Linked DNA regions of Stegostoma tigrinum. The protein of the gene in region 1 purifies or fractionates together with the protein of each later gene. This does not show direct contact. Links are inferred from orthologs where the notes say so. Each region holds a gene or a part of one and is shown in the gene's direction. Other genes may lie near its edges. The genes, in order: ankyrin repeat domain-containing protein 46, atrn and E3 ubiquitin-protein ligase MGRN1-like.

Region 1 (7,116 bases):
TGTGCTGTAATTCTCTTTGTTCTTTGTTCTATCATCATCCAAACTCATTTGTAGGTGCCCAACTAAGAGATTAAACATTGTCTTGCTCCGTAAGTAGGAGCGGGTCACCTAGGAGTTCAATGCTACAGTGACCTTAACAGCTGATGCGAGAAGACGGCCTCCCACTCCTGCAGCCATCCTGAACAGTTCCATCTCCGTGCCCTTGAGACAAATGGAGCCTGCTTCAGCACGGCATGTTGCTCAAATTCAGGGAATGGAATTGGGGCCAGAAAGCACCAGGCCTCCTGTGCAGCCCACATATCCTGAGGATCCTGTGGCTTTGACCTCTCTCTGAGCTGGCCTGCTGCTGCTGCTGCTTCTCCTAGGCTAGACATTGCCATCATTCTCCTGCATCTGTCTTTGCTTTTTCAGGTAGGCAGCTACAGTGACCAACATACTACCAGCTAAGGGCTCATCGCTCTCAGTGGCAAGGTCCTAAATGGGGCACAGCTGGATGCAGATAACAGATATAAGTGAACATCCCCACTTCTGACCTTACGCTGGCAGGAAGGTCATTGATTAAGCAGGAGAAACTGGGCTTAGGACACTGCCCTGAGGAACTCCGGCAGAGATGTTCTGGAGCTGAGATGACTGACCTCCAACAACCAGAGCCATTTTCTTGTGAGCAAGGTATGACTCCAACCAGTGGAGACTTTTCCCCTTATTACCATTGATTCAAGTTTTGCTTGGGCTCCTTGATGCCATACTCATTCAAATGCAACCTTGCTGTCAAGGGCTGTCACTCTTAAACAGCTCTTGTTTCAATGTTTAAACTAAAGCTGCTATGAGCTTGGGAGCTGAGTAGCCCTGGTGGAACCCAAACTGGGCATTACTGAGCTAGTCTAACAAAGTGTAGAGCTGGATGAACACAGCAGGCCAAGCAGCATCAGAGGAGCAAGAAGGCTGATGTTTCGGGCTTAGACCATCTGAAGAAGGATCTTGGCCCGAAACGTCAGCCTTCCTGCTCCTCTGATGCTGCTTGGCTTGCTGTGTTCATCCAGCTGTACACTTTGTTATCTCAGATTCTGCAGTTCCTACTATTACTGAGCTGGTCATTGCTGAGCAGGTGCTGCCTGATAGCACTGTTGATGTTGATCGCTTTGTTTACGATTGAGAGTGGATAAATGAGGTGGTAATTGGCCAAGTTGGATTTGTACTGCAATGTTCTACATTGTTGAGTAGATGTGTTGTTTATCTTGGAACAGCTTGGCTAGGAGAGTGACAAGTTCTCGAGCATAACAGAATGTTGTCAGACTCCACAGCCTTTGCAGTATCCACTGCCTCCAACCATATCTTGACATCATATGGAGTTAATCAAGTTGACTGAAGACTGCATCTGTGATCATGGGGACTATTGGAGGTGTTCAATTTCTGTGAAATTTTGTTTTTTTGTCAGCATCGTCACATCACATTGCATTACATGCAGAAGACGGCAACCCTCCCCCATTCACCCTCTTGACATCATCAAAGGAGTTGCACCATGTGGATTCCAACTGAAGTTTCATCCCTCATATTTTGAATCCTCCCAGGATCGCAGGTATCTCTGTGATGTGATAGCTGCTCTCGCTGCATCCTGAGATCCACACTCAGTTACATGCACACTCTCGGCCTTTCTCTCCAAGAGCATCGCATCACATGGGCTCAGGGTTGCACCACTCTGCAGTTTCACTTCATCCTCCGGCTCACTCATCGCGCTAACTTTTCTTTTCCTTTCAGGCATCAAGGCCCAAGAAGGGTCACTGGACCCGAAACGTTAACTCTGACTTTTTTTCTTCACAGATTCTGCTAGACCTGCTGAGCTTTTCCAGCAACTTCTGTGTTAGCTCAAAGGAGTTAGCATATTTATCACCAATGGGTCCATTGCTGATGATGCCTTTTAAGCAGGCTATAGAATGAAGTTGTCAAATGTGTCTGGACATATTCTTGGAGACGTCATCACATGACCTTCCACCTTTAATTGCTTCACCCATGAAAACAGAAAATTATGGAAATACTTCATCATTATAAGGCAACGACTTTCAATCATGGTTAGTGAATCCACCCACATTCCCAAAATCCAGAAACTGCTGTAAGATTTTTATCAATGACAATGAACTGAACAAAAGCATTAACCCTGAGAAGGCTGAGATAATGGGAACTGCAGAGGCTGGAGAATCCAAGTTAACAAAGTGTGAAGCTGGATGAACACAGCAGGCCAAGCAGCATTTCAGGAGCACAAAAGCTGATGTTTCGGGCCTAGACCCTCTGATGAAGGGTCTGGGCCCGAAACGTCAGCTTTTGTGCTCCTGAGATGCTGCTTGGCCTGCTGTGTTCATCCAGCTCCACACTTTGTTAACCCTGAGAAGGCTGTTGCTTCTGATGCTGCTGTGCAGGCGACCATCTTGGCAGGTGACAATTCTGAGGCTTTGTGAGATCTGCAGCTGTTAGATGTCACTCTTCTATCACTTGGTATTGAAACTGCTGGTGATGTAATGATGACATGTGCAATACCACCATTCCATCAAACAAATGCAGACCCTTTACTACCTACTCTGATAGCCTGGAGCGCTGATTCAAGTATTAGAGGTTGAAATAGCCATGACCATGGATATCAACTTGCTGAGCAAGTGTCAGCTGACTTCTCAGAATGTGCCTCGAATCGATGCCAATGGGATCTTGAATGTGTCTGAGTGTGTGTGTGAGAGCACCTGGAGAGGAAAAATAAGATCACCATCAAAAATAAGAAAGGTTGCCTGACCAAGGATGATATTGAAAGTATGGTCTAGGAAGCACAAAAGTGAATATGACAAGTAAGGTGAAAATTTGCTGAAAGGAATGCTTTGAAATTTTATGCCTTTAATATGAAGGCCACAACTGAGGATGAGAAGCGAAATGGCAAAGTTGGACATGATGATAAGCACATCATTTTGGACAAATGTAATGAAGTTATGAGTTGGCTAGACAAGAACATGACTGCTGAAAACAGTAAGTAGAGTACCAAGTAAAGGAGCTGGAAAAAGTTGATGTTTTAAATTCAGGGACCCTTCTTCAGAATGCAGGTTCTTCTTCAATAGCATCTTTGCAAACCATCTTTCGACAGTACCTTCCATACCTGAGACCTCTGGCACCTCTGAAGGAAAAGTTCAGCAAATGCCTGTGAACACCATCTCAATCTGCTAGTTCCCCTCACTGTTGTGACTTGGAGAGACTTTCAGTCACGCTATTCTAACATACCTTTGTGGTGGGTGAGAACTGAACCCAGAGTTTCTATCCCAGACGTAGGGACATTACCATGGCACCACAAGAGACCGTCCATGTGAATTCTGTTACACTCTCCATAGAAGCTGCCAGGTCTGCTGAGTTCCCTGCAGCATTTTTTGTTTTTGTTTATTATGACACACTCTCTGGAGCATATGGGACTTGAACCCGGATCTCTTGGCTCAGAGGTATGGACACTACCATTGCACTTTAAGATCCCTAGGCATCGTGACTTGAAACCACATAGCTATTCCTTCACTGTCACTGGGTCAAAAGCCTAGAACTCCGTCCCTAATGGCACTGTGGGCATCCCTGCACCTCAGGTTGGCTCACCCAGCTTTACCCCCAGTGCAATTAGAAATAGGCAATGAATGCCATTGGCACACACATCTGAGGAACATGTAAAACAACAATGAAAACAGAAGTTGCTGGAAATGCTCAGCAGGTCTGGCAGCATCTGTGAGGAAACAAAGTCAGAGTTAACGTTTCGGGTCCTTCATCATAACAGATTCTTAGTCAGTGAGGAAGGATTTTCTTCAGAGATGCTGCCAGACCTGCTGAGCATTTTGTTCCTGGTTTACAGCATCCTTAGTTCTTTTGCTTTTGATATAAAACAACAATTAGGGTAACTGACCAAGTATATAAGCCCTGTATGTGGGTTTTGAGTGTATTTTTTTCTACTGGGATTACAGTCCATTGTTTTCTCGCCCTCCTTTTGGATGGGAAGGCGGAAGAGTTGAGCGCCGGTACACGCATTAATTTTGACCTCTTGCTGCTGCCGTCCTGTGCTCTGAGCCTGCGCGGTTGATGGGCTTTGGGGGGGCGGGGGAGGTGGCAGTCAGCGGAGAGACAGGAGGGTGGCGGAAGACTGCCATGTCGTACGTATTTATTAACGATTCCTGTCAGACCGGGGTGCCGCTGCTGCAGGCCTGCATCGACGGCGACCTCGCCTACGCCAAGCGGCTGCTGGAGAGCGGCTTTGACCCCAACATCCGTGACGGCCGAGGCCGCACCGGCCTTCACGTAGCCGCCGCCCGGGGCAACGTCGAAATCTGCCGCCTGCTGCACAAGTTCGGGGCCGACCTGCTGGCCACCGACAACCAGGGCAACACCGCCCTGCACCTCTGCGGACATGTCGACTCCATCCAGTTCCTGGTGTCCAACGGCCTCAAAATCGACATCTGGTGGGTCCGGGCTGGGGCTGGGACTGGGGCTGGAGCTGGGTCTTGGACGGAAGCATAGGCCGGCAAGTGCACACCGACACACAGAGCATCCCACCCTGACCTATCGTCCTAATCTACACATCCCTGAACACTAAGGGCAGAAGAAACCCAGGCAGACACTGGGTGAATGCAGACTCCGCACAGACAGTCGCCCGAGGGTGGAATCGAACCTGGTGCTGTGAGGCAGCAGTGCTTACTACTGAGCCACTCTTCAGTAATTTTAAAGAGATATGCCAGATGTTTCGTGGGGATTTAGGACATTTTTCCCCCTCTAGGAGGGTGGCAGAAATGTGGATTGCACTCCCTAGGAGGATAAGTGAGATGGGAATCTTCACAATCTTTTGAAAGTTCTTTGATTGGGACTTGAAACTGTCATAATATTCAAGGCTATGGGCATAGTGTGGAAATGTGGGACTAGTGTAGCTGGTGTTATATTTTTGGCAGTATAGACTTGATGAACCAAATTGTCTCTTCTGTACTGTATGATTCTATTGACTTTGACTGGGTCTCAGCTGGTTTGGAACAAAAACAGAAGTTGCTGGAAAAGCTCAGCAGGTCTGGCAGCCTCTGTGAAGAAAAAGTCAGGGTTAATGTTTTGCTTCCAGTGACCTTTCCTCAGAACTTGGATTTAGGTAGGGCTGGACAGTTAGATTGGACGTAGGTTGAAACAAACAGAAATTTCTGGAGAAAGCCATTGAGTGTTGCAACATCTGTTGAGAGAAAACAGAATTAATGTTTCAAGTCCACTGACCTTTCAGAACTGAAGAATGATCATTGGACTTGAATCGTTTACTCTTTTTTTTCTGCAAATGTTGCCAGACCTGCTGAGATTTCCCAGCAATTTTGTTTTTTTTGAGTTAAATGGAACATGAAGACAGGAAAACAAAGTGCTGGAAATATTCCAGGATGGCAGCATCTGGTGAGAGAGGGAGAGTGAATGTTTCAAATTGAATTGCCCTCTCATCAGAATTCTGTGCAGCATTGGACATAATTTTAACTCAGTTTGTGTCCAGAGATCCTTCCTGAACTGATATTTCTAGCTCTTTTTGCTTTTATTTCAAATTATAAACAAATGCATCTTTTGCATCTGCGGCAAGTAGACAGAAGCTTAATTCAGCACATTATCCAAATGGTGGCTAATGCCATATGTGTAGAATTCACTATATACTGCAGCAAAGGCGTCAGCCTTGTTTGCTGTGGTCTAGTCCTGAAGCAGGTCTCAAACCCAGACCTTGTGGTTCAGAGGTAAGTCTGCCACAAACTCAACAATGAGTGACTTCTCAGCTGATTTAGATTGTATTTTTACCCACCTGCCTTGCTTCTATATCCATTAAGATTAAGAAATTGGTCGATCTCCACATTTCAATTTTGAGGTGGCAGCCAACTCCCAAGCAGCTTTTTTGTAGGAGACATATTTCCTGGTTTGTACTGCACTTTCTGAAGAAGTGTTTCCTGACATCTTAATAGTCTACCTCTAATTTTGAGTTTATGCCCCACCAGAAGTAATTGTTTCTTTCAATCTACCCTATAAACTTCTTTAAGCACCTGAATGAGGTGTCCTGTAAATCTTCTATACTCAGTGGAATTTTGACCTAGTCTAGGCAGTCTCTCTTTGACTTTTTTGGTGCCAGTGTCTTTCTGATCTTTGTGCAGTGTAGCTTCTAAAGCCAGTTGAATCTTTGTAAGACATGGTGCTCAGAAATGAACTTGCTACTCCAACCACAGACCAACTAAAGCTAAATGCACCTAAGCTGTAACTTTTACTGTTTTGTATTTCAACTCTTGACATCCAGGCCTACATTTGAATAGTGATTCCCTGCAAATATTATTGCGCTCTTAAAAACATCACTAGATGCTCATAGGGCTATAAAACATAACAGCAGTAATAGATCATTCAACCGATTGAGTGAAAAGGAAGACTCAACGAAATCATGGCTAATCTAGATAATCCTCAACTCTACTTTCTTGTTCCCCATAACCCTGACTGGTTAAAAAAATCCTCAGCCTAAAATATACTTAATGGCCCAGCCTCTACATTTGTCTGCAATAAAGAATTCCACAGAGTCATTCTACTGTGAGGGAAGAAATTCCTGTTCATCTCAGTCTTACTTTGGCAACCCTTCACTCTAAAATTATTCTGTGTGGTCCTGGACAGTCTCTGAGTCAGAGGGAGGGGGGGGAAAAACACTTGTGCATTTACCCTGGCAAGTCCCCCAATAATCTTGTGTTTCGATAAGGTCATGTCATTCTTCTATCTTCCAAGGAGCTCAGGTAGTTCACCTTCACCTTCCCCAATACCTGCCGAACTTTTTTTTTGCTTTTTGTTATTTAGGCACCAGGACTCCCAGATTCATCTGTGCTGTAGCTTTCTTCAATTTAAATAATATTCCGCTTCTCCCCTTCCTGCCAGAGTGCAAAATCTCTCTTTCTCCCATTGAATTTTATCCGATAAGCTTTTGCCCACTTATTAACCTATTTGTATCCTTCTGCAGACTGTGTCGTCCTCAGCATTCGTCTTCCCGCTTATTTTTGTCATCTGCAAACTTGGTGATAGTCCCTTCACTTTCCTCATCCTAGTCATAAAATCTATTCTGAGTAATTGTGGTCCCACCACTGA
Region 2 (7,814 bases), on another chromosome or scaffold:
AACACATTTAATGTATTCAAGAGGTGACTAGATATTATACTTGGGGTGAATGAGATCAAAGGTTATAGGGAGAAAGCAGGATTAGGCTATTGAGTTGGATGATCAGCCACAATTGTGAAGAATGGCAGAGCAGACTCAAAGGGCTGAATGGCCTCCTCCTGCTGCTACCTTCTATGTTTCTGTGTGAAAGGCAGAAATTGTTAGGGGATTTGAGTAAAACATTTTTCGCCCAGAGGGTGGTAGAGATCTGGATTGCACAGCCTTGGGTAGTAGAGGTGGGAAACCTCACAATCTTTAAAATTACTTGAATGAGCTCATGAAGTGTCATAACATTCAAGGCTACAAGCCTCATACTGCTAAGTGGGATGAGTGTAGATTTAGCATAGTTTTTGTTTGTGCAAGCTTGATGAACTGCTGGACTATTTGAATCAAAGAATCTATGTTTATACTCAGTTGGTCACGCTGCACCTCTCTGACTCAAATGATTCTAGAATGAAGCCTCACTTGAAGTCGTGAAACACAAGATCGTCATTAATGTTTCTGCGCAGTACTGAAGACCTCCTGCAATGTTGGAGGAGCTGTGATTCAAAGATGTTAAAATTAATCCCTATCCGTAACCTTTGAATTGGGGTTATTCCGGTGTGCAAATAAACAATTATCCTTGAACGACTCTCACTAAAATTTTAATTGGTCATTTATCTCATTGTTTGATGTATGTTATTGTTGAAAGATTTACAGTCAACATTAACTTGTAACTGGGGCTTTTGTGGTGCAATGTCAGTATTCCCTAAAGCTGGACCACAAGTTCCAGGCTCAAATACCACCTATTCTAGTTATACATGTCTGTACAGGCTGACTAAAAATATCTACCTTAGTGAGTGCACCGGAAAAGTATTTTATGGACTGTGAAGTGCACCCTGTGGTCATGCAAAGTGTAATATGAAGTAAATTATTTCTTTCTTTTCGTCAACAATTTCAGGGACTGGAATTCACAATTGCTAATCTCAGGATTACTGAATGAACCTTGCTCTAGAGTGGGGAAGAGCAAGAAGATTAGTGAAATCAATGCATGGCGAAAGATGTGATTTGGTATTGGCACCAGTTCTGCAATAAGTAAAATCTACTCCATAAAAATGGATACAAAGAACAGGCAGCTTGTGAATGCATTGACAAAACAGTTAAATGGGGAATGATTACTTGTAAAAAGGAGCCTAGAAAATAAGGCCAGGAATAATCATTGAATACATGTTTGTGCAGTCAACAATTTAGCAAAACAAATAAAATCAAATGGACCTGTTATGAAAAGAAGTGCACTGAAGTAAATGAAGCTCTCTGATGAAGGGTCTAGGCCCGAAACGTCAGCTTTTGTGCTCCTGAGATGCTGCTTGGCCTGCTGTGTTCATCCAGCCTCACATTTTATTATCTTGCACTGAAGTAAAGATGGGGGATTTCAGGAAAAAGATAGGCTGAACAAAAGAGAACTCTTTTAGATGAAGCAAAGAAGTTGAATACCATATGTGGGATGCAGGCAGCAAGCTGGGGGAATTCGGATGCAATCATTTTGCTGGAAGATCTATATTCCATGAATTAGCAGAAACCTAGTTACAGCTGCGAAAGAATGGAAAATAAGCATTTTAAATCTTTCCTGTAAGTAATTTCTTGGTGATACAGAACTTAAACATTCCTAGAAATGATATTTTTCAATTTTCATAATAATTTAAAATTTGTTTTTGGCTTGTGGGCTGTACAGGAAGTATCAGTCTTGAAATGTGTGAAGAGCTGCCTTCTTGAAAATCTGTAGTGTTTGTGATGTGAATATATCACCAGAATGCCATGGGGTGGAGTTCTATGTTTTTGATTTAGCAGTGAGGAGTGTCCGCTCTCTTGATCCTCCTCGTGGTGGTCATTGTGGATTTGTAATATGTCGTAATGAACTGCTGTAGCGCATCTTGAAGACAGGGCAACTGCTTACATTTGGTTCCACTAGTGGAGGGAATGATTGTTGAAGGCAGAAAATGGGGTCCTAAATAAACAGGTTGCTTTGTCCTGGATGATAGTCAGCTTTCTTGAAAGTCTTTGGAACTTACTTATCCAGTCAAGCGGGATGGTCTTGCTTATATACTTGAATTATGCTTTGGAAATGGTGGCAGAATTTGGGGAGTCAGGAAATCAGTGACATCTTCCACAGCCTCTAACTTACTCTTATAGCTTGTTGCCTGTATGTAGTTCTGTATTGTAGCTCCATGTGGTTAGGAACTCATTTTTTGGTGCAGCTTAATGGTAGGAGATGGGGAGCAGAGGACTATTTGTGTGACTGGAGGCTGGTATCTGGTGGCATACCACAGGGATAAGACCGTGAGACATCAGAGCTAAAGTAGGCCATTCAGCCCATCATGGTTGCTGCACCATTTGATCATGGCTGATGTGTTTCTCAACCGCATTCTCTTGCCTTCTCCCCTTGAACTTTGAAGGACACATGTCAGGGTAGGTTTGCAGGTGAGAAGAAGATCATAGGATGGGGAAGCAGACCATTTGGCCCGTACTGGCCTTCCAAAGAGCACCACATCTTGATCCACCCCGCTACCCATAATGCTGCATTTTCCATGTTTAATTCATCTAACATACAGATCCCTGCACACAATGGGGGAATTTAGCATGGTCAATCCACCTAACCTGCACATCTTTGGACTGTGGGAGAGAACCAGAAGACCCAGAGGAAACCCACATAGACGTGGAGAGAGTGTGCAAACTCTACACGGACAGTCACCTGAGGCTGGAATTGTCCCCTGGGTGCCCGATGCTGAGACGCAACAGTGCTGACCACTGAGCCACCATGATGCCCATGATGTTGATTAATGATGAGGAAGAAGGTCTTACGTTACAAGTTGGTCTATGGGCAGATCAGTGGCAAACATACTACAGATGTCTTTTTAATGTACCGTATCGTTTCACATTTGATCCCTTTCCCCAACTATTTTGTTTAAAACTCTCACTAAGTTTGCAGTTACCCAAATAGAATCCAACATGAACATATTAAATCTATGTCAGCAAGAAAAGTAAACTTCCTGAAGAGAACCAGCGCACAAGGCTAGGGGTTGTATCCAGTAACAGACTTTTAATGGGATATCTCAGAATATTCAGAACAATTCATATTCCTACTACAAAGAAATATTGGACCCACCATCCATAGTTAATTAAGGAACATAGTTAATGTGTCAAACTTGATGACAACAGATATAACTGTGGAAAGATAAGTGGCAGGTCAGATGATTATTCACTATAGAAACAGATGAAAAGATTAATCCAAGAGAAGAAATTTGAATATGAGAGGGAATTCATTCACTATGAATGAAAATCCAGATAGCAAGAGTTTCTACAGGTATTAATAAAAGTGAGTTAGCAAAGTATGTTCAGAGATAATGGGAACTGCAGATGCTGGAGAATCCAAGATGACAAAGTGTGGAGCTGGATGAACATAGCAGGCCAAGCAGCATTGCAGGAGCACGAAAGCTTTTGTGGTCCTGAGATGCTGCTTGGCCTGCTGTGTTCATCCAGCTCCACACTTTGTTATCTAAGCAAAGTTTGTGATGGTCCTCTGGATATTTAAGTAGGAATTAGCAGTAGAGAATAACAAAAGGTTAGAGCAACAAATATTTTACTTAAGTCTTCAATAGAGGGGATACAAAAATGTGGCTGTTATAGCTCTAAATCAGGAAATGAAAATTATAATCAGAAGGGGAGTGGCACAGAGTAACTCGATGGAGGTGCAGGCTGTCAAGAGCTGAGACCAAATAAACTTTTATCCTAGAGCTAATGAACTATAAGATGTGTTCCTGTTAATTTTACAAAGTTGTTTCAGTTCAGGGAAAGTTCCATCAGATTGCAAAGAAGCAAATTTATCTTGTCTATTCAAAAAGGGAGGAAAGGAGCAAACAAGAAACAACAGGCCATTTAGCTTGGCATCAAATGTCAGGAACGTGTCAGAATAGATCATTAAGGAGATTATGTAGTTACACATGCTTGGAAAAACTCAGTGTAATCAGGAAGAGTCTTATGGTTTTGTTGGAAAGGAATCATCTTTAACTAACTTATTGGAGTTCTTCAAACGTGTAATATGTGCTGTGGATAAAGGGAACACACACTCAACTTGGAGTTCCAGGTGGCATTAGATTAGGTGGCACAAAGGTCATTGCAAAAAAACAAATTTCATGGTAGGCAGGGTTAACTTTTCAGCATGGACAGAAAACTGGCTGGCCGTCAGAAAATATCTGGGTATGCATAAAAATGCCTTTGTATGACTGGCGGATGTGATGAATAGTGTTCCACAGGGGACAGTACTGGGCCTGAAAGTTTTACAATTCTCATCAATGATTTGGATGAGACGAAGGAAGGCATGGTTAGCTAAATTTAGATGTTCACTTGCATATGTCACAAGAAGTTAGCACGCAAGTGCAGCACATAATGAAGAAAGCTAATTAAGTGTTCTCCTTTTTTACTGAAGGAAGTGAACATAAAGAGGCATGTCTATCTCACAAAAGAGGCTAGTACCTAAGTTTAACGGTTATGAGGAAAGGCAAATGGAATGCAAAGAGAAGTCGGGAGATCTTGCTTGGAGCGGATAGCAGGAAAATATGCAGCATGCGGGCCAAGCAAGTGCATGAGCGGGGAGGTGAGCACGCGCGCATGCTCAGGCGGTGGTGATTCGGTGCGCAGGTGCAGTGGTGGCGGCGTGTTTTTTTTTTACCATCTTCTCCCGGGGACGGTCTGCGGATCGAGCACAAAGTTGAGAATATGGCGGCGGCGGGGGAGCGACGGACCGGCTCCGCGCTCCGACGGACGCTGGGCACCGGCTCGTGGAGTTTCCTGAAGTGGGGCGTCATGCTGGCGCTGTGTGTGTCCATGTGCGGGTGGCCCGGAGCCCAGGGCAAGGAGTGTGAGAAGCGGTGTGTCCACGGGAACTGCAGCGCGGCGGGCGGACAGTGCGTGTGTGAAGCTGGCTGGGTCGGGGAGCTGTGTCAGCACTGCGGCGGCAGGTTCAAGTGAGTCAGGGGGCTGGTGGGCCTCACCGACTGCGGCTTTCCGACACACACGGCCGTAAACCACCCTGACCCCCGCCGCTGCCACTACCCCGACCCCCCACCCTGACCCCCGCCGCTGCCACTACCCCGACCCCCCACCCTGACCACCACCACCACCACGACCCCCGCCAGCACCACCACGACCCCTTTCCACATTCACTGTCCATGTTTTATTCATTTCTCGCCCTGTCTACCCTTCCTTAAGTATCCCTCTGTATCCTCAGTGTTACTTTTGATTGCTATTTGTTAGAAACCTGAAATGCAATTTGTTTTTTTTCTAGAAAATTGATTTGTACATGTGCACGGTTTAGGCCATTTTGACGCTGTTTGCTTTCGGACATAGGAGCAGAAGTAGACCATTCAGAACATTAAGTCTGCTCCATTATTTGTTGAAATCATGGTTGATTTGATAATTCTAAACTGGACTTTTTTGCTTTTCTCCATAACCCTTGATTGCCTTACCGATTTAAAAATTTGTCTTCCTTAATGTTGAACGTACTTAATGAGTCAGCCTTGACAACCCTCCGCTGAAGAATTCCACAGATTGATTACCCTCTGAGAAAATAAATTTTTCCTCATCTGTGTTGAACGGGTGACTATGCATTCTGAGATTACGCCCACTTTGCCAGAGCCTTCCACAAGGGAAAATAACTTTGTACATCAACTGCTTCAGGTGCTCGAAGAATTTTGTATGTTTGAATAAAGTCACTCCTTATTCGTCAAGTCCAATGATTTCAGGCCTAACTTACTCCACCTCTTTGTAAGACAGCCTGCCCATACTCTGGACTGCCTCCAATGCCTATATGCCTTGCTTTAGATAAAGGTGTCAAAACTGTTGAGTTCTAAGTGTGACCTGATCGTGCCTTGTATAGAGATAACAAGACCTCCCTGATTTTTTTAATACTCCATTGCCCTTTGAAATAAAGGCCACCATTCCATTTGTGTTCTCTGTTGTGGCTCGTCTTTGCAGACTTTTTGGCATTTTCTTCACTTGCCTTCCCACCTGTCTGTCATCTGCAAACGTGGCTGCAGTTTAGTCACTTTTCTCGTCCAAGTCATTAATATACATTTTAAACAGTTGTAGTCCTTAAGTAATTGAGTGACACTGATTCCTGTAGCATTCCACTGGTTATTGATTGCCATCCTGAAAATACCCCTGTTGGACTGTCTTAAATGATCATCAAACTAATACATTAGTTTCTAATATACTGCATCCAACTTTGAGACGTCTTGGTGAATCTGCCACCTAATTTAACATACGTGCTGTTGTGCCTCAATAATATTCATTCTCATTTCACGTTATGATTTTAATTTCTCATTAATTGCCACTTGCAGTGGAGATTTCAGACTTTGGTCATTCTCCACAAACCTACAGTGTGGAGCCAGGAGTAGGCCATGATGCTGCTTGAGTCTGTTGTGCCATCACAGCTAGCTAATCTACCTACCCTGGTTAGCCTTTCACTTTCTTTATCAACGCTGTATCTACATGCTTAAAATATTCATAGACTGCTCCCACTGTGGAAGAGAGAAGCAATGACTCGGGACCCTTTTAAAAGAGGAAGAAAAATTATCTATCTTTCTGGGCAGCTTTTTTTTTTAAGATACTGGCCTGCCATTCGACATCCTCCCAATAGAAGAATCATCCTATCGACATTCACCCTGTCAAGATCGTTCATGATCTTAAATGTTCTAATCAAGTCATTATTGCTTTTCTAAACCCTAATAAAAACAAGCCTAGTTCATCCAACCTCTTCACTATCAAGTTTGCTACCAATTTGTGTCATCCACAAACCTACTAATTGTACCTTCGACACACATCCAAGTCACAAATCTACATAACAGCAAAGGTCCCAGCACCAAATCCTGTGATACATTGCTGGTCACAGGCTTTCAATTAGAAATACAACCCTCCACATCACCCTTTGCCTTCCATTTGGAAATCAGTTTTGGATCCAGTTTGTCAACTTGCCTTGAATCCATGGGCACTTAGCTTGAAACCCAGCCTTCCCAAGACCTTAGTGAAATCTCTGTAAACAACATCAGTTGCACTACCCTCATCATTATATTTAGTTGTCTTTTCAAAACACTCAATTAAATTAGTCAGACAGGACCTTCCTCTGATAAATCAGTGGTGCCTACCCTGATCGATCTATGCCTTTCCAAGTATTGACCAATCCTGTCCTTCAGATTTTTTTCAATAATTTCCTTCCCACTGACGTTAGACTAGTACTGGAATGCATGAATTACCTGGCTTATCCTTGCTGCCCTTCTTGAGCAAGGGAATATCATTAGATATCCACTAATCACCTGGCACTTCACCTGTGACCTGTGAGTATTAAATAAATGTGCGAGGGTCCCAGCAATCTCTCCTTGTGCTGAACATAGCAGCCTGGTATACTTCTCTTAAGGCCTTGGGGATTAATGCATTTTTATGCTCATTAAAACATCTAATACTGCCTCTTTATTAATGTTAATGTGCGCTAGACCTCACCAACCCAACTGAAATCCCTAGATATGTCTTTCACCTTTGTGAATAGAGATGAGAAGTATTCATTTCAGATCTCACCCACGTCTACCGGCTCCACACACAGATTGTCCCTTTGCTGTCTAAAGGCCTTAGTCTTTCTCTCCTGATCACCTTACTCTTTCTTTACATCGTAAAGAGCCTTGGGGTTTTTCTTGCTCCCACCCGATAGTGCTATTTTGTGGTTCCTATTTTGCTGTTCTAATTCCCAC
Region 3 (7,237 bases), on another chromosome or scaffold:
TGGAGACCGCTTTGCAGAACACCTCCGCTCAGTTCGCAACAAACAACTGCACATCCCAGTCGCAAACCATTTCCACTCCCCCTCCCATTCTTTAGATGACATGTCCATCATGGGCCTCCTGCAGTGCCAAAATGATGCCACCCAAAGGTTGCAGGAACAGCAACTCATATTCCGCCTGGGAACCCTGCAGCCTAATGGTATCAATGTGGACTTCACCAGTTTCAAGATCTCCCCTTCCCCAACTGCATCCCTAAACCAGCCCAGTTCATCCCCTCCCCCCACTGCACCACACAACCAGCCCAGCTCTTCCCGCCCCACCCACTGCATCCCAAAACCAGTCCAACCTGTCTCTGCCTCCCTAACCGGTTCTTCCTCTCACCCATCCCTTCCTCCCACCCCATGCCGCACCCCCATCTACCTACTAACCTCATCCCACCTCCTTGACCTGTCCGTCTTCCCTGGACTGACCTATCCCCTCCCTACCTCCTCACCTATACTCTCTCCACCTATCTTCTTTACTCTCCATCTTCGGTCCGCCTCCCCCTCTCTCCCTATTTATTCCAGAACCCTCACCCCATCCCCTTCTCTGATGAAGGGTCTAGGCCCGAAACATCAGCTTTGGTGCTTCTGAGATGCTGCTTGGCCTGCTGTGTTCATCCAGCCTCACATTTTATTATCTTGTATGTGTAAGAGATGTGTTTTGTTTGTTGGGATAGAGTCAAACTCCATTGTTTGTTTGTTTCCTTGATGTGGGGGAAAGGAAGGGTAGAACTCTTTGTTCTTTGTTCTTTAGAAAACTCCAACAAGTATAATGTCCAAGGGGAAACAAAGCAGCAGGTTAACCTATGTGGGGGTGGATCCAACTGCATGTAAAACTATGAAAAAAATGAAAGGAAAGGGGAACCATGGAACGGTTGTTAATGTCACCAGAACACAAAATAGGACAGAGTGCTTGGAAAGGGTTAGGAATCAAACTTCAAGCACACTGGTTAAACAATGACAATCAGAAGAGAAATGCTAAATACAGGACTGAAGGTGTCCTACCTGAATGCATGCAGCATATGAAATGAGGTAAATGAGCTTGTGGTGCAGATCAAAATCAGCAGGTTTAATGTAGGCATCACAGAGACATGGCTGCAAGGGAATCAGGACTGGGAGCTAAATATCCAAGGATATTTATACCGACAAGACAGGCAAGTGGGCAGAGGGGATGGGATTACCTTATTAGTAAGAAACAAAGTTAAATCAGTAGCAAGAAATAATGTCGGGTCAGGTGATGTGGCATTTGTGTGCGTAGAGTTGAGGAATCACAAGGTTATAAAAACCATGATGAGAGTTATGTACAGGCCTCCAAAAAGTAGTCAGGACATAGGGCACAAGATATACCAGGAGATAGAAAAGGCGTGTAAGAAAGAGAAGATCATTGGGAATTTAAATATGCAGGTGGACTGGGAAAATCAGGTTGGTAGTGCATCACAAGACAAGGAATTTGTGCAATGTCTAAAAGATGGCTTTTTGGAGCAGCTTGTGGTAGAGCTCACCAGGAAACAGGCAAGTCTGGATTTAGTGATGTGCAATGAGGCAGACATAATAAGGAACTTAAGGTGAAGGAACCCTTAAGTAGGTAGTGACCACAACATGATACAATTTACTGTTCAATTTGAGGGAGAAGATGGAATCAGATGTAACAGTATTACAGTTGAATAAGGGCACCTACAGAGCTGACCAGAATTGACTGAGAGAGGAGCCTAGCATGAAAGACAGTGGAACAGCAATGGCAGGAGTTTCTGGGAGTAATTTGGGAGACATAGTAAAAATTCAGTCCTTGGAAAAAGAAGCATACTAAAGGGACAATCAGTCAACCATGGCTGACAAGGGAAGTCAGGGTCAGCATAAAAACAAAACAGAAAGCATATAATGCAACAAAGGGCATTGAGAAGCCTACAAAGACAAACAGAGGACAATGAAAAAATCAATAAGGACAGAGAAGATTAAATTTGAGGTAATCTAGCCAATAATATAACAGAAGATTGCGAGAGTTTCTTCGGATATATAAAGGGCAAAAGAGGCAAAAAGGGACATTGTGCCACTGGAGAAGTAGTAATGGGGAACAAAGAAATTGTGGAGGAACTGAACAAGTACTTTGGCATTAGTCTTCAGGGTGGAAGACATGAGTAACATTCCAAAACTTCAAGACAGTCAGGGGACAGAGTTGAGTATGGTGGCCATCTCCAACGAGAAGGTGCTAGAAAAACTGAAAGGTCTGAAAGTGGACAAATCATCTGGGCCAATTGGACTGCAGCCAAGAGTTCTGAAGGAGATAGCTGAAGAGATAGTGGAGACATTAAAAGTGATCGCACCAGAATTACTGGAGTCAGGTAGGGTCTCAGAAGACTGAAAAATCATTAATGTAACCCACTGTTTAACATGGAAGTGGGACAAAAGTTACAGGCCAATTAGACTGACCTCGGTCATTGGTAAGATTATGGAGACCATTGTGAAGGATGAGATTTCTGAATACTTGAAAATGCATGGTAAAATAGAGCAAAGTCAGCATGGTTTCATCAAGAGGAGATCATGCCTGACAAATCTATTAGAATTCTTTGAGAAGGTAACGAGCAGGTTAGACAAAGGAGAAGTAATGTATGTTATCAACTTGGACTTGCAGAGGCCCTTGACAAAGTGTGCACCATGATGCTGCTGATTAAGATAAGAGCCCATGGTGTTAGAGGCAAGGTACTAGCAGGGATAGAAGATTGGCCGTCTGGCAGAAAGTGAGGATAAAAGTGTCCTTCTCAGAATGGAAGTCAGTAACTAGTGGTGTTCTGCAAGGTTCAGTGTTGGGAGCACGATTTTTCATTTCATACATTAATGGTCCAGGTGAATGAACTGAAGGCATTCTGACTAAGTTTTCAGATGATACAAACATAGGTGGAGGGACAGATAGTATTGAGGAGGTGGGGAGGCTGCATAAGAATTTAGACAGGTTAGAAGAGTGGGCAAAAAAGGTGGCAGATGGAATACAATGTGGGAAAGTGTGAGGTAAGAAGAATTTTGGTTAGAAGAATAAAGACATAGCCTATTTTCTAGTTGGAAAGAAAATTCAGAAATCTGAAGTGCAAAGGGCCAGGGGAGTCCTAGTCCAGGATTCTCTTAAGGTAAACTTGCAGATTGAGTTGGTAGTCAGAAGGGGCAAATACAATGTTGGCATTTATTTCAAGAGGACTGGAATATAAAAGCAGGGATGTACTTCTGTGGCTTTATAAGACTCGGGTCAGACCACATTTAGAGTATTTTGAACAATTTGGGCCCCATACCTCAGGAAAGATGTACTGGCCCTGGAGGTTCACGGTAATGATTCCAGGAATGAAAGGTTTATCATGTGAGAAATGTTTGAGAACTCTGGGTCTACATTCAAGAGAATTTAGAAGGATGAAGGGAGATCTAATTGAGACTTACAACATAGCAACCCAAGGGCACAGTTTTAGAGTAAAGGAAGACCCTTTAGAACAGAGATGAGAAGGTAAATCTTTGGAATTCATTGCCACAGAAGGCAGTGGAGGCCAGATCATGAATATACTTAAGACAAAGATAGATAGCTTCTTGATTGGTAAGGAGACCAAACGTTACAGGAAGAAAAAGTGGAAAAATGGATTTGGGAAACTTCACAGCCATGATTGAACAGTGAAGATCCGATGGGCCGAATGGCCTAATTTGTGCTCCTATGTCTGATGGTCTGTGCAGCTGTATAGAATCGAACTGCATTTGTGACAATGTATATTTTACGATGGGATTTTTTTCATAAAGTATATTCTTGAAATACGAGAAGTGTGTTGCTATAGTTTAAGGAGAGTTATCAGGCTACTGCTATGCCTGAACAAGTTAATTGGCCTTCAACATGTTAAGGCTTAGTCACACACCATTAAAGACCTAAACCTGAGGTGACACCCTCGGAATCATATCAGCTGGGCGAGGAAACAAGGGAAGAGAAGCCTGGGTAATGCACCATTCCCCAACACCAAAAAGCTGCCAGGACACACAGGGAATGGGAATAGACAACCAACACGAGAACAGCGTGACAGAGACCGGAAGTGGCGTTTATCCTTGCGGTGCACCCTGGATAATGGTGTCTTTCCTGCCTACTGAGTGCCGTCACCGTAGGGAGCCGAGAACTACAGTTCCCAGAGTTCTCCAGTGTCCTTCCCCCTTCCACTCTGCGCATTGGGGACCGGGACTTCCGGCGGTGGAAAGTTTGCGACCGTTTTATGACGGAACAGAAAATGTTCCTTTTGTGGGTGCCTGGAAAGATGAATTAGTCTTCGTTTGGCGAGAGATTTGTTCTTTTGTAGCTTGAGTTCCGATCGAGGGCGTGCACCCTCCTCCCCCACCCCCCGAATAGTAGTTGTTCCTTGTGTTCGGCTTTAAGGCTGGGGTTGGTTAATTGAGGGCGACTGTGAAGGCCCGAGTGGGTTTGAGGACGAGATTGTTTGAGGGTGAGGGGCTGAGACGTTTTGAGGGTTTATGTGAAGGTCTGAGGGCGGAGGGTTTTGTTTTAATTAAAAGCGGCTTTGAGTTTTCAGTTGCCCCCTGCCCTGAACTCGGGACGGTATAACCATGGGCTCGGTGCTCAGCCGGAGAATCGCTGGAGTCGAGGATATCGACATCCAGGCCAACTCGGCCTACAGATACCCACCGAAATCTGGTAAGGGACAGTGACCCCCTTCGCCCATTGGAATCAGTTCTGTACTTAATGATGCAGGTGTTTGTGTGCTGTATGTTCAGTTATACTTGTGGTTCTGACCATGAATTTCCGAATAGGTGGCAAATATATCCATCTCGATCATGTTAGTTAATGTCTTTCTAAGAAATTCTTTGTTTGAGTGTTTAGAATATAGACGTAAGATTACTGGAGAATAGTATGGAGAAGTGTAAGGTTTTCACTTTGCGAAGAATACAGAAGTTTTTTTAAGTGTATGGAATTTATAAACAATACGACAAATTGCTGGGAAATCTCAGTAGGTCTGGCAGCATCAGTGTAGAGAAAGCAAGCTTCACGATTCTGGCCCAGTGATGCCTCTTCAAAACTCCAGCAATTTGTAATTTTGTAAATGTTGATTTGTAATTTGTAATTTGTAAATGTTGATGTTCAGAAGTGTATAGGTGTACTTTGTAGAAGAATCACGAAGTTAGCTGCTGGGTAAAGCAAGCAATTTGGAAAGTGTATGGCGCATTGTCCTTAATGAGAATGGGATTGGGTTGCAAAAATGAAGTAACCTATGATTTATGTAAAGGACTTTGAGGCAACTCCTGGAATACCAATCTGAAGAAGAGTCTTATCCAACTTGAAATGTTAACTCCGTGTTTTGCTCCATAGGTGCGATCAAACCTGATTTGATTTATTAATACTGTCACATGCACTGAAGTACAGTGAAAAGTATTGTCTTACATATTTTACAGGCAGATCATACTACACAAACGCATCAAGGCAAAAGAAGAGAGTGGCGAATACAATGTTAGAGCTGCTGAAAAGTTGGGGTGGGGTCAGAGAGAGATATCAATGTTAACCTATTGAATGGACCTATTTAATGTTAATAACAGTGGGAAGAAGTAATTCTTGTGTCTTACTTTATGAATACAAACAGTTATATTTTCTGCCTGGTGATACAGAGTATACCCCAGTGGGAGGGATCTTTGGTTATGTTGGTTGTTTTCTTGGTGCAGCGGGAGGTGTAGATGAAGGTATTGGATGGCAGGAGGGTTTATGTGGTTGACTGGGCTGTGTTCACAACTCTATGTAGGCCCTTTCATTCTTGGAAGGGGCAGTTGTCGGATCACACTGTGAAGCAAAGGATGCTTTCTGTGGTGTTTATGTAAAAATTTGTAGGAGTCTTTATCAACATGCCTAATTTTCTTAGTCTCCTAAGGTGTTGTTGTGCTTTCTTGACACCAGTATTAATGTGGGTGGACCAGGACAGAGCATTGGTGAATGCCACTCACAGGAACTTGACATTTCCTCAGCTTCGTTGATATAGGCAGGGGCGTGCCCTCTACTCCGCTTCCTGAAGTCAATGACCAGCTCCTTCATTTTGCTGCTGTTGATGAAGAGAGTGTTGTCTTGACATCATGCTGTTCAGCTCTTTATCTCCTTCCTGTAGTTTGTCTCCATTGTTTGAGATATGCCCTAAAATGGTACTGTTGTCAAATTTATAAATGTGGTGGGTGTGGAATTTGGCCATTCAGTTGTCTGTCTGTGTATAAGGAGTATAGTAAGGGGCTATGTACACAGCTTTGTGGAACCCTGGTGTTGAGGGTTACTGTCGAGGAGGTGTTGTCAACTATTCTTATTGATTGTGGTCTGTTGGATAGAAGGTCGAGAATCCAGTTACTGAAGGGGGTGTAGAGACTTAGTTTCTCGAGTTTGAACATGAGTTTGTTTGTGATGCTGATGTTGAAGTTGTAGTCAATAAATAGGCACCTGATGTATGTATCCTTATTGTCTAGATGGTCCTAGGTCCAGGGAGATGGTGTCTGCTATGGTCCTGTTGCAAATTACAACGGATCAAGGCAACCTAGGATGCTGAAGTTGATGTGAGTGATGACCAACTTCCCAAGGCACTTGAGATAACAAGATGTAGAGCTGGATGAACACACCAGGCCGAGCAGGAAGGTTGATGTTTCGGGCTTGGACCCTTCTTCAAAAAGGCCTCCCAAGCACTTCATAACTTCATAATTATGGATGTCATAGATACCAGGTGATAGTCATTGAGGGATGCTGCATAAGTTTTCTTTGGTACTGTGATGATGGTGGTTGTCTTGGAGCAGGTAGAGACTTCAGGTCCTAGTAAGGAGAGGTTGAAGATGTCGGTGAATACTCCCGCCAGCTAGCCCACACAGGATCTGAGTGCATGGCCATTTATGCCGGTCGCTTTCAGTGAGTTCACCCTTAAGAATGCCGGTCCAGTGCCTGTGGTGGTGACCAAGGGTACAGATGCATCTGAGGCTGATGCGACAGGCGCCATCGTTTCTCTGACCTTTTGTTCAAAGTGAGTGTAGAGTGTATTGACATCTTCAGATAGGGATGTACTGTTGTCCGCGATTCTGTTTGACTTCGCTTTGTTGTCGGTTATGTTGTGTAAGCCTTGCCAAAAACAACAGGGGTCCATGTGGTTAGTTTGGGTCTCAAGCTTAGTTTGGTATTGCTTCTTGCCATCCCTGGCGGCCTTGTGAAGATCATATT

Evidence for each region.
Region 2: the proteins of ankyrin repeat domain-containing protein 46 (region 1) and atrn purify together in Homo sapiens (co-immunoprecipitation; 3 studies listed by BioGRID and IntAct, with this or other methods). This does not show direct contact. The link is inferred for Stegostoma tigrinum from reciprocal best matches to the Homo sapiens genes ANKRD46 and ATRN.
Region 3: the proteins of ankyrin repeat domain-containing protein 46 (region 1) and E3 ubiquitin-protein ligase MGRN1-like purify together in Homo sapiens (co-immunoprecipitation; 3 studies listed by BioGRID and IntAct, counting the BioPlex papers as one, with this or other methods). This does not show direct contact. The link is inferred for Stegostoma tigrinum from reciprocal best matches to the Homo sapiens genes ANKRD46 and MGRN1.

What each region holds. Positions count from the first base shown.
Region 1 is NC_081368.1:15,500,675-15,507,790, reverse strand, and holds the start of ankyrin repeat domain-containing protein 46, read left to right. Parts: upstream 1-4,079; 5' UTR 4,080-4,083; coding exon 4,084-4,460; intron 4,461-7,116.
Region 2 is NC_081354.1:177,835,730-177,843,543, reverse strand, and holds the start of atrn (attractin), read left to right. Parts: upstream 1-4,716; 5' UTR 4,717-4,791; coding exon 4,792-5,039; intron 5,040-7,814. UniProt on the Homo sapiens protein: Involved in the initial immune cell clustering during inflammatory response and may regulate chemotactic activity of chemokines. May play a role in melanocortin signaling pathways that regulate energy homeostasis and hair color.
Region 3 is NC_081376.1:5,520,926-5,528,162, forward strand, and holds the start of E3 ubiquitin-protein ligase MGRN1-like, read left to right. Parts: upstream 1-4,228; 5' UTR 4,229-4,614; coding exon 4,615-4,702; intron 4,703-7,237. UniProt on the Homo sapiens protein: E3 ubiquitin-protein ligase. Mediates monoubiquitination at multiple sites of TSG101 in the presence of UBE2D1, but not of UBE2G1, nor UBE2H. Plays a role in the regulation of endosome-to-lysosome trafficking.